Cricetulus griseus: one gene and its partner. The protein of the gene in region 2 purifies or fractionates together with the protein of the main gene of each other region. This does not show direct contact. Links are inferred from orthologs where the notes say so. Each region holds a gene or a part of one and is shown on either strand. Other genes may lie near its edges.

Region 1 (3,819 bases), on a different chromosome or scaffold from region 2:
CAGTTGTCTCTTTGCACATGTGCACCCATCTGGCCCTGGAGGCTCATCTCTCCTTCACATGGTTCTGTGCTCCAGAAGCTCCACTGCTGGCCCCATCCCCAGTGGCACCACTGCTACCCGGGCTGCTGCACAGCACCTCAGTGAGGTCGTCCATGACTGCAGTTTCTTTGGGGTCGAGCAGGTTGAACTCTCTGGCGAAGAGGATGAAGTGCACGTACAGTGTGTTCAAGTGTCCGTGCAGCTCAAGGGCCAACGTCTCCTTGAAGTGGGCCCAGTAGATGTGGCCCAACACATGAAACAGATACTTGCAGATCTTCTTCACCAAGGACTCGAACGAGCTGGGGAATTCTCTGCCTAGGGGGAGGCCACATGTCACAGACCTGTAAGGAGGTCAAGCTCCTACAACTAGGCTTTCTTGGATGGACCTGAAGTGCTCACACCTGTTACCACTCCTCCACAGAGTTCCCAGCAATCTGTCCCTCAGAGTGGCATGTGCCCAGAGTGATAGGCACTGGCTGAGCCATGCTGGTCACCTGCGCAGCAAATGGGCCTACAGGTTCCATGCTTCCTCCAGCAGACACCCCAGGGCTATCTGTAGACCAGGTAGTGGAGGAGTAACAAGTACACAGGAATCCCTGTAGGTCACTGCTGGCCTTTTGCTGCTCAGGATGAGTTCTGAGCCCCCATCAGGACCTTGACAGGTCTGGAAATACTAACCACAGCAAGATGGACTGTGATAGCCTCATTGTGCAGAGCTGGTAGCAGGGACCGAGTGGGGCCATGTAGTGGGTCCCAGAGTGTAGGTGGGTATTTGACTCTAGCTGGGCTGAATCCTGTATGGGAACTTCCCTCCCTCATTAGCCCAGGTCCCCCTTGCTGAGCAGGAGCCAGAGTTCCAAAGTTGTAGGCCTTCTAGACCTCACTTGCAATCATACCCCAGAGACTCTCTAGCCCAGCGCTGAAGAACTTACTGGCTTTACATAAGGATTTAGGTACAAGCTGCAAGAGACATACCGTATTTTGTGGGGAACACATCTTCATCAGTTACCAGCTTCTGCACAGAGCTCATGACAAAGTCAACATACTGGGGGGCAGTGCACTTGACCTTCTTCCCCCGCTCGTCATACCAGTAGTATTGTCTGTAGGGACAGAGACTTTGGTCAGGGTGCCAACCCTGCCAAACACCCGCCCCAGTTCAGGCTCCCACTCATACAACACAAACGCAAAGGCAATAGAATAAGGCAAGCAAGCTAAATACAACTATTCCAATAGGACACACAGAGTGCTCAGAATAGCATCTGAGGAGAGCAAGGGCTTCATGTACAGAAGCGAGAATACAGGGAGCCCAATGTGACACTTTCATTTTGCCTAGCTCTGCAGATTTCATTTCTTCTAAATAAATCTGTATTTATTGTAAATAAATTCCTTAAAATTAATTGGGCACAGGTATCTGTCTAGGAGGTGGCCTGAGACTGGTCAGAGAGCCTAGACCGTTGGTGGTGCCCTTTCCCAGAATTAGAAATCACTTTCCCCATGGGGAATAGATACTTGCAGTAAAGTGACCTGACCCCTGGAGACCCACCCCAAACTCTTTAGCCTGTGCATGGGGTAGCCAATGCTCGTAAGATTGCTAGTTCTGAGAAGACCAGCATCAGGGATGAGGAGACACTGAGTATATTGAGTTGCTGGGTCTTAACCTTGTGCAGAATGACAGTTACTCTGTGTTCTGCCAAGAGGAGCTGGTGCTACCCTTGGTGCACTGACTGCTGCCCCCTTAGGCATCTCCTTGGGAAAGCTTGGATGAAGGACTCACATGGGCCTCTCACAAGCCTCTGGTATCTGGCCATGCTGTGGGAATGTCACACCACCTAGGTGCTCTGGATTCAAGGGCACAGCATGCTCTTCTAAGCTCCTGCTGAGGGCTTGTGTTTCCTTCCAATTGGAGACAATTATAGACCACACTGTTACATATGTTCCCATGGTAGGGGTGGGGAGGGGCGTTCTGTGTAAACACAAGTTTTCATGTCTCTAAAGCAAAAGCCAACAACAGGATTATGGCCACAGCAGGTCTGCATCATTTCATGAGAATGTGTCAATGTTATCCTATGTGCTATGCCACCTGCACCCCACCAGTATGGCATGTGTTCCCCAGCACCTAGTGTTCTGCAATACCCCATGTAGGTTTCATTTGTGTTTCTTTAACTCCCCAGTGCTGAATATCTTCTTAGTGGCTCACTGCCATACTGTCACTGTGCAACCAGTCCTTCCCCATTCTTGTCAATCAAACTGCTACTTGCATGCTGCTGCACTGAGAGTTCTCTGCATGTCCTGGATACTAGTTCTTGTGCAACAGGTGCCTCCCAGATGTTTCCACATAGTCTGTATTTGTTGCTTCTCCTCATAGTTGTCTTTCTTAGAATAAAAGTTCTGAATCATCATAATAAAGTGATGGGCTGAGTCCTCTTCATCAGTGGGCCACTCCTTTGCTATAATGTCCGATAGCCTAATGCTAGGTCAGATAAAAGCCTGTGTCTTCCCATTTCTGCATCAGGTGTGAGGCTTAAAGTTGAGGTACTTTCCCTTTCCTCTGTGTAAAGTTGCATTTCACAGCAGCAGTTATTGAGAAACAAAACAAAATTTCAAAGTAAAAACATAGTGTTTCATGTTCCAGATTTCTCTACTCAGTTCCAATGGCCAAGTCATCAGAAATCAAAGACTGTGCTTGAGTTTCCTTCTGGATTCTGCTCTGCCCCACTAACTTTTGCCTCACCTTTGGGCAACACTATACTGCCCTGTCACAACAGTGTATCTTCAAACTGTGGGCCCTTCCAGCTGCACTGTTGTGAGTAACTCTAGCTACCCACTTCTGTGTAAATTCCAGAACACACGAGTCTAGTAGCTAATAGCTCTGAGGAGTTTTAATTGGGGATACACTAAACCACAAATTTGTTCAGCGTAGATCTGTACGTTCAGCTTGTTGTCTTCCAATCCACCAACACGGTGGGGCTGTTCATGTGCTGTCCTTCTGTGGTTTCCAGAAACAGAGCCCTCTGAATGCTAAGTTTATACCTAAGCATTCTGTTGCTTCTGGAACTATTGTAAATGGTTCTGATTAGTTAGGGTTTCAATCATACACAGCTAGCATGCGGACCTGTGACTGTTTCTGTGTGCTGATCTTCCAGTATTTATTTCATTGCTGGACTCCTTCAGGGGCTCACCTCCAGAAGCCTAGTTCTTAATACCATGACCTTGGGAGTGAGGATTCATTAATAAGTATTGAAGAACTTATATATGCCAAAGTGTACATTTGGATTGAGTGAGTGTTCATTTGGTGAGTGACTAATTTATGCTGAAGTTCAGCATTATGCATGCTAGCAATTGCTCTGCTACTGAGCCATATCCTCAGCCCTGTTTAAAGTTTTATAAGAGACAGAATTCTGCTATGCTGTCCAAGCTGGGGGTGATCAAGCCAGAGTGGCAGAGCTCCCATGGCCAGTACTCATGCCTTTCAAAAAGAGCTGTTTGTTGTTCATGAACCAAGAAGCTCTTCTTAGAACCACAAGATATACCAGTGCTGTTCAGTAACCTCCATTGCCGGCATTTGGTTATGGCAGTTCAGACTGATGATGGTGAGTGTTTCTCACAGGGAGGCTCAGACTTAGTTCTACAAGAATATGTTCATAAAAATCTCTTTGAAACTCTTATACTCACATAGTAGCAGCCATTCATCTGCTGGATTTACATTACCATTGCTGGTTTTCTGCTTGTTCTGTTTTTATCTTTATAATCCATGGTCATGCTGTATGTGGGGCTGTATCT
Region 2 (3,819 bases):
CAGTGGCTCCCGAGGAAGAAGCAGCGATGAGTTCATCAATGTCTGGGTCAGGAGATTCCTTCAGCCCACCCACTGCAGGTCTCATTGTCCCCTGGTCCCTGAAGTGACGTCTTCTGTCCCACTTTTGGTGATTTCTACAATAGTGCCCCTGTTGAGAGCAGCTAATAATGGTTTTGTAGAATTTGATGTGGATCAAGGGGAAGGTGCACAGAGCCCCTGACGTAACTCGATGGAGTTACGTTCTAAGGAAGGCAGCCTGTGAGCGCGCTTTTTGTTGCGGCCTCAGATCAAGCTGCTGTAGGTTCTCCCACCTGGATCTTTGGTGAGCAGAAGCTGAGGCTCAGAGAGCAGCTCACATGAGTAGTGAGCAGAAGTCAGGGCCACTGGACGCAGCCTTTTCCTCCCTTTTGAAGTAGAAGAAGGGTCTCTCCTCAGCCCAGCATCCTGTGTTCTGTCCACAGTGCCTGACTCAGCACCTGTCAGTCAGCCTTACATGTGACACCCTGCCTTACATGTCACCAGTAAGGGGGTGCTTGTCCTGTGCTTCTTCCTGTACTAATCCACACTCAGATGTTGTCTGAGAGGTTCAGAATGCCAGTTTGACAGGATGCTGCTTTGTAGGCATATTCCACAGTCGGAACACCAGACTACATTGCTCCAGAAGTCTTCATGCAGACTGGCTACAACAAACTGTGTGACTGGTGGTCCTTGGGAGTGATCATGTATGAAATGCTAATAGGTGAGTCCTGTTTACATGCATGATACATACCTCTATTGGCAGATACTTCTATTGGTACATACCTCTATTGGCAGATACTTCTATTGGTACATACCTCTATTGGCGGATACTTCTGTGACAGACAAAAATAGCAGAGCCATTTTTAATCTATTCCCCACCTTCTTCTGCCCAGGATCCCTATGGCTTCCCTTATCGGATGCCATATGCAGGGTTCGGATAAGATGAGGTGGGGCTTTACATCCTTATGGACTTCATTAGTAGTTTTACAGTAAACCAACACCTATAAGAAACAGATGTCGCTACAGAACACTCAGGTTTTTTTCTCGTGGCGTGTACTTGTAGGTCTGGTTGAACTGATCACCAAAGCTGGTAATTTTTGTTTCCCTGACACCCAGGCTTCCCACCTTTCTGCTCTGAGACACCTCAGGAGACATATAGGAAAGTTATGAGCTGGAAGGAAACACTGGCATTCCCTCCAGAAGTGCCTGTCTCTGAGAAAGCCAAGGACTTGATTCTCAGGTTGGTGACTTAAAACTTCCCAGTGCCCACACGAGCTGTTTCTCTGAGGCAGGGCAGGTGTTTGGGGGCGGGGAGAGAATGCCGAGTGATCTGGTCAGTTTTAATAGAGGATTTACAAAATTCAAACTCTAAAAAGACTTTATTAATTTTTATGTTTAAGTGTGTTGGGTATTGCTCATGGAGGCTAGGAGATCCCTAGAGCTGGAGTTACAGGCAGTTGTGAGCCACCTAGTGTGGTTTCTGCGAATTGAACCCAGGTCCTCTGCAAGAGCTGCCAGTGCATTTAATTACCTACTTCTCCTTCCCTCCAAAACGCCAATGCTTACAAAGAAGTTTGTGGGAAAGCGGGGTTTAGATCAGAGAAGAGATCTTCTTGGACATACTGATATTTTTAGCAAAGGGTCACTTCTGTTAGACTTCAGGACTGGGTGTGTCAGAAACGAAAGGAGGGTAAATGTATTAGAAGCAGAAGCCCCTGCCATGAAAGTCACAGGCACCTAAGCAGAGGGCGGTGGGAGGAGGTGCTGCAGCACTCCTGTGAGGGGAGAAAGAGCTGTTGTAACGACTCTTTTTCTGTCCTCCAGCCAGCTCCCAAATAATGACACAGACTCCTCATTAATGAAAGCTCGGCCTGTAGCTCAGGCTTGTTCCTAACTAGTTCTTATCACTTAAACTAATCCATTTTTATTAATCTGTGTTTGTCCTGTGGTATTTACCTCTCTTCTTGTTTCCTCTCCGTGTCTCCTGGTTTCTTCTGCGTGTTTAGATCCTCCCCTCTTCCTCTCTCTCCCTGGGAGTCCCGCCTGTACCTCCTGCCTAGCCAATGGCCATTCTGCTCTTATTATGGCAGTCACAGCAATGTATCTTCACACAGTGAACAGACATCCCCAACAGGATATGAACTGTGACAAGCCTTGTCAGTGGACAGCTGGCAGCGTACTGTATAGAATTGTTAAACTATACATGGCCTTTGACCAGCAGTTCTATTTCTGGGAATTTAATAGAGCGTGTTACCATGTAGGAGCAAAAAGAGTTAGGCACATTTCTTGTGTTATTTTAGTTGTGAAAAATTGGAACTCACCTAAGTCTTCAGCAGCATCGATGGATGTAACACTACGATGTCTCCATACACAGGTCTCAAAAAATTACCTCACAGGAAAATACTGAACAGCGCTGCGAAGTTTTCTTAGTACATTAAGTGATAAAAGTCTTAAAGTAATCATGTCAGCCCTGTTTTAATTATTTCAAGCAATGAAAGAAGTGACTGCAGAATGTCTGTGGGTGATTGTACTTCTCCATGTTTCTCCTACCCCAGTGTACTCAATCACTAAATTAGAATGCTTCCTAGAAACACTTGAAGGGATACAATCAGAGTTGCAAGTGAAGTATGTGGCTGACGTCTGTTTTCCCTTCCTAGGTTTTGTACCGACTCTGAAAACAGAATTGGGAACGGTGGTGTAGAAGAGATCAAAGCCCACCCCTTCTTTGAGGGTGTAGACTGGGGCCACATCAGGTATGTTCTGAGGCCTGGGCTGACAAAGGGAGCTTCTGGATTGGTGGTTAATGTGCCTCTGATTCTTATAGACCCGAGGTTCTCAGCCTGTAGTTCATGACCCCTTTGCGGGGTTGAACGACCTTTTCACAGCAATCGCCTAAGACCATCAACAAACACATTCATAACAGCAGCAAAATTACCGTTTTGAAGTAGCAATAAAAATGGTTTTATGGGTGGGGTCACCACAGCGTGAGGAACTGCACTAAAGGGTCACAGCGACAGGAAGGTTGAAAACCACTGTTATAGACGAAATACAAGAGGCAGCTCTGCCTCATCTGAGACGTCATAGACTTGGTCTGCTGCTCTGCTTCCCTGTGTCTGTTACGGAAAGGTCGCAGAGCAGAGCCTGGCCTGTCTAAGCTCAGTGCTAGTTGGGGACAGAGGCCAAGGTTGTGGCTCTTTCCACCCAGTTGAGTCTTAACTAGACTTCCATAGTCATCGTGCCTGGGTCTAGAAAGTCTAGGTAAGACACCATGGACAAGATGTCAACAGTTCCTCAGGGGAAGATGAGAAATGTATGGTGTGTGCTCATGAAAGTCCTGGGCACACAGTGGGACCTCTAGTGAAGGCGCATATTACTCTTAGTTAAGACTAATTCTTGTATAGACACAGACAGTACGTGCTTTTTCATAGTGTGGTAGGCTTAGCACCCAGTAGATCCTTTAAAAATTTGTTGAAAAAAAGTAAATAAAAGCTGATAAAGGGCCTTTGAGGTGATTCAGCAGGGAAAGCCTGGAGACTCAGTTCAATCCCCAGTCCTGCGTGGTAGGAGGAGAGAGCCAACAGCTGAATGCTGTCCTCTGACCTCTACACTTGTGGGGTTTGTGTGTGTGTGTGTGTGTGTGTGTGTGTGTGTGAGAGAGAGAGAGAGAGAGAGAGAGAGAGAGAGAGAGAGAGAGAGTGAGTATAACTTAAGTTTTAAGTGTAATTTAAAAGTTTTAAGTGATGGTTTCTTTTAACTATTTCTATAGTTAAATGTATCTACTACCATAAGGCATTTTTTGTG

The links.
Region 1: the proteins of Stk38l (region 2) and Mob2 purify together in Homo sapiens (affinity purification with mass spectrometry; 9 studies listed by BioGRID and IntAct, counting the BioPlex papers as one, with this or other methods). This does not show direct contact. The link is inferred for Cricetulus griseus from reciprocal best matches to the Homo sapiens genes STK38L and MOB2.

Annotation. Positions count from the first base shown.
Region 1 is NC_048596.1:59,174,764-59,178,582, reverse strand, and holds part of Mob2 (MOB kinase activator 2), read right to left. Parts: intron 1,140-3,819; coding exon 1,015-1,139; intron 355-1,014; coding exon 44-354; 3' UTR 1-43. UniProt on the Homo sapiens protein: Stimulates the autophosphorylation and kinase activity of STK38 and STK38L.
Region 2 is NC_048601.1:2,943,595-2,947,413, reverse strand, and holds part of Stk38l (serine/threonine-protein kinase 38-like), read left to right. Parts: intron 1-621; coding exon 622-739; intron 740-1,134; coding exon 1,135-1,258; intron 1,259-2,675; coding exon 2,676-2,771; intron 2,772-3,819. UniProt on the Homo sapiens protein: Involved in the regulation of structural processes in differentiating and mature neuronal cells.